2 linked regions of the Danio rerio genome follow. The protein of the gene in region 2 interacts with the protein of the main gene of each other region in a biochemical or structural test. Links are inferred from orthologs where the notes say so. Each region holds a gene or a part of one and is shown on either strand. Other genes may lie near its edges.

Region 1 (3,829 bases), on a different chromosome or scaffold from region 2:
GGTGAAGTTAAGTTTGACATTTTCATTTGTATGTCATCTGTACAGGCCAAATGTGTGTGGAAACATCCTCCAGGGGATGAAGTCTATAGAAAAGGTGCCACCTCTGTGTTTGAGGTTGATGGAAAAAAGAACAAGGTGGGCAATGATTTCAAAATGACTCTTACGTTTGGGATATATCTGTTTTTTTTGTGTGTGGCAGTTTTCACTTCTAAATTAAATTCTACGTTTACTCGCTACATATGAAGCTGATTTCTTTCATCCATGTGTCTCAACAGATCTACTGCCAGAACCTCTGCTTGCTGGCCAAGCTGTTTTTGGACCATAAAACACTGTATTATGATGTGGAGCCTTTCCTGTTTTATGTCATGACTGAAGCTGATAACACAGGCTGTCACCTTGTGGGATATTTCTCAAAGGTAATGCAGTGGTGCAGTCTATGGAAACTCACTTAAACTGAAATTTATTATAACATTACATATTTTCACAATACTTGCATTTAAGGTAAAATTTTGGGCAGATTTTTAATCATAAGCCTCTTTTGTTGAGACACTGCTCGCTGCAGAGCCACTTGGGCTCCAGTGAGGGGGAGCTTGAGCTCCAACTCCTCCTCCTATAAGCTGTTTTAATGCGTACATCCACCCCTAACCGCAACCCCCCAGTGACATCACTTGTAGAAGAAGTGCAAGGAAGGAGGAGCTGGAGCTCAAGCTCCCCCTTGCTGGAGCTCAGCTCTGCCCACGTGGCTCTGCAGTGAGCACCACTTGCTTTCGTTTACGCTCAGGCAATGGTAATGCTGTTCAGAGAACATCAAACTTGTTGAAATGATTTGAAGACTGGATTGTGTACTCTTGATGTGCTGGCAGCAAACAGTGCACTAGTTTTACACTTTAAGGGATAGTTCACCTAAAAATGTACTGTTAATTTACTCACCCACAGTTCATCCAAGATGTAGATGACTTTTCTCTTCAGTAGAACTTTAGAGATGTTTAGATATATCTGTGGTCCTTGGTGATTCATATGATGGCAGTGATTGCTAAAAGTTTTTTTTAGATTAAAATAAACACAAATGAGTCCAAATCAATAGCCATGGCTTCTGATGAAACAGTGATGTCTTGTGAAGCAAAACGATTGCTCTGTGTAATGCTGTGTTCACACCAGACACCAGACGGATAAATCGCGCTATTCGCACGTAAATAGCCGCGTGAACATTTGAGTTTACTCGCTTCATACGCGCGTCAAACCCTGCTTCATTCGCGTGTCAAATTCACATCAGAACAGACGCGGATTCGCGTGATGGGCAGGGCTTCTGTCTGCCCTGTGACTAGCTTCATAGCTAAATGGCTAACATGGATTTTATGAAGAAAATAACAGTGTTTATGTGCTTTATGAAGACTGAAAAACAGCGTCGATACGTTTAGGGTCGTGTCTGAGTCTACTACATTCTTTCAGAGGTGCATCCAGCTCTGTGAGCTCATAAACTTAACCAACTTAACCTGGCTGACGGAGGCTTTTTTTAGCGGTGCATCTGACTGAGCCAAGCCCAGTTTGATGAACTGTTGTCGGTGAAGGCTGGAGGATTTCCCTCGGAACACCGACAACAGGTTCTACGTCACAATCACGCCCCCACAAGAGGAAGCTTCTGATTGGTTAACGCGGTGCGAATTTACACTGAAGTTCAGATTTTTGAAATCGAGAGATTCGCGCGAAACGCTCGTTAAGCGCGTCAAATGCGCAAAACGCTCAATTCGCCCCACGCCATTCGCGCGTATCGCGCCGCAGGATGTCCATTCGCGCGTTTGCATTAACTTAACATGTAAATCACTCGCGCTTGACGCGCGTTCCGCGTCTGGTGTGAACACAGCATTAGAAATTGAGCACTATTTTCAATATTATTAGCATTAATTTACAGCCTGGTCAAACGGTTCACGATGCATGTGTGAATGTAGCCTGATTGTAGTCCTGTCACTTTTGAATCATCCACAGATTCAGCTAAAATCTTCTTTAATCTTGTACTAAAGAAAAATAAAGTCGTCTACATCTTGTGTGACCTGTGAGTGAGTAAATTTACAGTAAATAAAACAAATGTGTGAACTGTTCTTTTAAGAAAGGCTGGTCAGAACAAGTCATTATGTTTATATCATGATCATAAATTCTCTGTTTAAGCATAATTGTCTGTTTTCATGTGTGCAGGAGAAGAACTCGTTCCTGAATTACAATGTGTCTTGTATCCTGACCATGCCACAGTACATGAGACAGGGCTATGGCAAGATGCTGATTGACTTTAGTGAGTACCTGGTGTGTGTGTGGTTAGGTTCTGACGGTTATATTTGTGAACAACTGAGCATTCCCATAGATCATTTCATTATGGCAATGTCACTGACCCATGAACATTTACTTATGTCAAACTATTTTGTAACTGTAACAAGAGGCAATTTAGTCATATCTTAACATTAAAACCTGTCATAATATTATTTATCAATATGTGGAATTTTTTCGATTCTTGGAAGCTATAGAAATTAAAAATGCAATACAGGAAATACGTTAAGACCGTCGTTATTGTTTACATTCCTCAAAAGACTGGTCTGTAAATGAAAAGCATCAACTCTGTGCAAAACTCTATATCATAAATAGTAATAAAATGCAGATATCAAACTGTGCAACATCAACCTGTGATGTGGATTTTAGTTTTAGAAGATGAAATGGAAAAAAATAGGGCATTGAAAAAAATTTGTAAGCAGAAAAAACCCTCAAAATTAGCCAGTTTTGCTAATATCGTCTTGGTGTTCAACACACAAATCTGTTAAAATCTTGGAAAATTTAGTCAAGGGTTTATGACCCTTTAATTATTTATTTAAAAAAAAAAAAAGAATTATACACTAAAATCAGGATTTATGACCTTTTAAATACCATGCTATTGTGTTGCTATTGCGTTCCAGGTTACCTGCTGTCGAAGGTTGAAGAGAAGGTGGGCTCTCCTGAACGCCCGCTCTCTGATCTGGGCCTCATCAGTTATCGCAGCTATTGGAAGGAAGTCCTGCTACGCTACATGTACAATTTTAAGGGCAAAGAGATCTCCATTAAAGGTAAGAGGAGTTTCTTGTGCCCCAAATGTGAATGTTGTAAATTAAGCATGTTCAATCAGACATCCCTGAAGGGTTTGACTTCATTTTTTTTTTCTTCCTCTCTTCAGAGATCAGTCAAGAGACTGCAGTGAACCCAGTGGATATCGTCAGTACACTGCAGTCCCTTCAGATGCTCAAGTACTGGAAAGGAAAACATCTAGTTTTGAAAAGACAGGTATCATCTGTTTGTTATTTCTCTCTCTTTTTTTTTTGTATGTTTGCTTTAAAAGGCCTGGGTGTCCACAGGGTCTTAAAGTATTAAAAGTTAATAAACGAATGAAGAGAAATTTAAGGCCCTTAAAACTTATTAAAGTCTAAAATGCTATTTTGCAAGGTATTAAGTTTGATATCATTTTTGATTATGCAGTGTATAGTTGTATGCTAAAGTTTCCCTGAACTAAATCTGCGAATATCAGGATGTTGTATAGTTAATGAAATCCTACTATTTTTGACATCATGCTGCTTTGTTTACTGCAGTAAAGGTGCCAACCTTTTTGGATAAATTGCTTACATGAATATTTACTAAATACATTGTAAGTTTAAATCTTGCAAGTGTTGTTGGTTGAAAAGTAGAATCTGTGCCCAGAAAATAAACTTTTTGAAATTCAGCCAGAAACAGGTAGAAAATCTGATTTATTTTTTAAGTCAAGACATGAAGAGATTGTTTATAGAAGATGCCGCATTGGACACACAAGACGCATGAAAGG
Region 2 (3,829 bases):
CAATCAAATTCCCACGCATCACAGCCTTCAATGAGTCCCATACTATGGATGGGTCTACCTCTCCATTATCATTTATCCTAATATATTCTTTTATATTTAATTTTATCTGTTCTGTATTTGCTTTGTTATTTAACAAACCCACATTCAACCTCCAACCTGTCTTTCTCTTCCTTCCTTCTATTTGAACTGTCAGGTACAAAGCGCTGTGGTCAGAGACCTCAGCTACTCCAATGCTACAATCTTTCACCCTATAACAGTCATTTTTTGGCATAAAAAAATAATCAATCCTAGAGTATGTACGGTGGGGAGCTGAGTAATGAGTGTAGTTTTTGAGAGATGGATTAATATGTCGCCAGACATCGCAGTATCCTATGTCATCCCAGGCTGTGTTAATTAATTTTGATATTTTGCTCCCATTTCTTTTGCTATTAGTTGTGTCTAAATGGTGGTTTAGTACCACATTGAAATCTCCACCACATATACAAATACCCTCTGCTTCCAGTACAATTACATCCATTAATGATTTGAAGAACAGTTTACTAGTATCGGGTGGAGCATACACATTTACTAAAGTTATTAATTCCTCTTCAATTTTACCCTTAACAATAAGATATCTCCCATCCTTTTCTTTTATTTCCTTATATAATTCGAATTTAAATTTATTAGCAACAAGAATAGCAATTCCCCTTCTATGTGAATGCTCATATGAATTGTAATAAGTATTTTTAAAGCCAAATCTCTTTAATTTCTCATGCTCTTGTTGAGAGAGATGAGTTTCTTGCATAAAAATAATATCTGCTTTCTCTTTTTTAAATTTTGTCAATACCTTTGACCTTTTAATTGGGTTACCCAAACCGTTCACGTTTAAAGACATTAGCTTAACCTCAGTAGACTGTACCATCATCAAAAAGAGTCATTCTTACACCACTATGTTTCCACAGGCAAACCTTAAATAAAATAAACTGTAACACAGAAACAAGCCAAGAACTGCTTAGAACAAGCATTATGGTTCTTGAAATCTTTGAAAGTTTGTGAGTGTGAACAAAAAAATTAAATTCAAGTCCCTGGAGATTTTTTTAATTAAGTGTACATAGAAAAAGATTGTTGAATGAGTTTATTTTGTTCAAGACATTTTCTTTAAAAGAATCCATTTGACCTCCGGTCTGCTAAAGTGTTATTTCACCAACACTTGTGCTTTTATGCGTACAGCTTGCTTAAGTTACACACAATTGCACAATACGATAAGTGTTTCCCGCATGAGTTACTTTGTGTTGAACATTGCCATGATGTTCACAAACATACTATACCACTATAGTACCTCACGGTTTCAGAGACAAACATAAAGTGCCAAATATTTTAATTAATATAATGTTGAGTTGATTTACTTTAGGAGATCAGGTAAACCCATGAGGCAAGAAAATGTAAATAAGCATATTCATATATCTTAAAACTTCAGGTTATATGAGCCTAAACTCTTTTCCAACAAAATCCATACAAAAGTTAATATCGGATTATTTTATAATATAGTATGGGATGTATTAAATAATCTTCAGTTTTATGCAAAACACGCATCAGATATCAGATCTGTCATATAACATGACGTAACCTTGCTCTCACTTAAAATGTGTTCCCACATTAAAACCCTTGCATTTGAGGGCGTTGGTCATAGAAAGTCCTTGTAAAGTTTGTCTTTTCGGATTTAGGCCAGTCGTTTCTTCTCTAATACTAAAATTGTAATTAAAAATTGTGATTTTAGTGCAGATTGTGTTAAAGCAGTTTAACATAGAAGTTAAATTAAAAGTGTCAGTGCAGTTTTGCAGAGTTGAAGTTCAGTTTATTTCAGTTGAGTTTGGTTTAAATTTCACTGCTGAAAGTCCAAACCCTGAAGAGCAAATCCATTGATCCATCTAAACCAAATCAAGCAAGACAGTGGCAACAGAGGCAAGGAACTAAACTTCATTAAATTCACCATTTGTCCAAAGATATTAGAATATTACATGGTACAAATGTACAAAACAAATATTTTTTATTTTACTCCTTTAATTACTTTTTTTATCCGGGAGAGTGAAAATTTTGGCAAGGCTAGTGAAAATCTAGAGAACTGGCTTAACTCAACTAATAAAAATGGTTGTCATTGACTCTGACACATTAAAAAACTAAGACATGCATACATATTGTAATTGTGGCATTTTTTTTCCTGTGGTTTTTAAAAAAAAAGAGTGTCATTATATTTAAGGTATCATATTGAAGTTAGAAATTTGTGACCAAATTTTGAAGAAATGTTCCAGCACACATGAATTACATAACCATGTATCTCTCCACAGGCGTGTTATGGTATACTGAAGGTCCCTGAGGGCAGCTGGCTTTGCCGTACCTGTGCGCTGGGTATTTTTCCCAAATGCCACCTGTGCCCTAAAAAAGGCGGAGCCATGAAACCCACCCGCAGTGGCACCAAGTGGGTCCACGTCAGCTGTGCCCTCTGGATACCTGAAGTAAGGATGCACGCACAAATGAAGACTTATGTAAAGTGATTCACTTAATGACGCAGAAGAGCAGTATGTGTGCTGAGACTGGGCTTTGTTGTGTGCTCTTTATCTCTAGGTAAGCATTGGTAACCCTGAGAAGATGGAGCCTATCACTAATGTGTCTCATATACCCAGCAACAGATGGGCTCTAATATGCTGCCTGTGTAAAGAGAAGACAGGAGCTTGTATTCAGGTATACAGTGCTGATGTTTATCTCTTATTATGTTATGGATACAGTACAGATATGAAGAATGTCCCAGAAATATTGCAAATTTCATTAATGTTTTTAATGAATATTTTCCACATTCTTACAAAAGCATTCATTTTATTTTTTTGTCTTCTGATGTTTTTAGTTCAATTTCAGTTTGTTTATAGCTCTTTTAGGATAGCAATAATTCTCCAATGGCTTTGTTTTTGGTTTTGGATTTCTTTTGCTTTGGTGACTGATTTGTTTACTAATATACAGCAAGATGTGCTTCTTAAAATGGTAATAGCTTTAATAAGAATATGTAAAACCATTAAAACATTGAGTAATAATCACTTAATTGTTGTTCTTTGTAAAAAAAAAAAAAATCCCAAAAATGTAATCAGGTTTTTAAATTGTACGATTATAATTTTATAAGTTTCATTGTTATAATAAATTTTTGTGAATTAGGGAAAAAGAACAGAATCCAGATAAATAAAATATAATTTGAGATCAAAAATTGAATAAAGCAACAAATAATACTGTACACAGAAATAGGATATATGCAAAAGTATGCAGAAGAACTTTTAATTTTGCAGTAACCTTGGTCAAGTGCTTACGATGAACTGTATGCAGTTACAAAATCGGCACGTTTAAGGTCTGTTTTCTTTAAAAATGATCTCCACTGCCTGATTGATCACGGCGCCATGTATATAAAAAATGAAAATTAGTTTCACCCCAGTATTTTCTATGTTTTTGCGCTAGCTCGCTAATCGTGACAGCGCGTACATATAAAGGCTTTTTTTATCTCTGTTTACGCTTCAACAACTAAATGAATGCTGAAGTCTGTTTAACTGATTATATTTTATTTACATTACAATATGGATGCTGTAAAAGGAAGCGTATAAAATTGAAAAAAGTCACATTTAGCTTTCACCAGATGTTTATTGGTATGGAAAGAAACACTAGCTGTGCAAATACCCTATTTGGGTTAAATGTAACATTTTATCATAATGTATCATGAATCAGAGCACATTTTTCCAGCTTCACATTTCTCCGTCCTCTGTGGTCTAATTCTGACGTCTTGTTTTTCCAAATCCCTAGTGTTCTGCCAAAAGTT

The links.
Region 1: the proteins of jade1 (region 2) and kat7b form a complex in vitro, tested with the Homo sapiens proteins (2 studies listed by BioGRID). The link is inferred for Danio rerio from reciprocal best matches to the Homo sapiens genes JADE1 and KAT7.

The regions. Positions count from the first base shown.
Region 1 is NC_133187.1:6,533,782-6,537,610, reverse strand, and holds part of kat7b (histone acetyltransferase KAT7), read left to right. Parts: intron 1-45; coding exon 46-135; intron 136-275; coding exon 276-416; exon of another isoform or gene 417-572; intron 573-708; exon of another isoform or gene 709-1,077; intron 1,078-2,190; coding exon 2,191-2,284; intron 2,285-2,936; coding exon 2,937-3,083; intron 3,084-3,190; coding exon 3,191-3,297; intron 3,298-3,829. UniProt on the Homo sapiens protein: Catalytic subunit of histone acetyltransferase HBO1 complexes, which specifically mediate acetylation of histone H3 at 'Lys-14' (H3K14ac), thereby regulating various processes, such as gene transcription, protein ubiquitination, immune regulation, stem cell pluripotent and self-renewal maintenance and embryonic development.
Region 2 is NC_133192.1:28,308,563-28,312,391, forward strand, and holds part of jade1 (protein Jade-1), read left to right. Parts: intron 1-2,324; coding exon 2,325-2,492; intron 2,493-2,601; coding exon 2,602-2,718; intron 2,719-3,813; coding exon 3,814-3,829.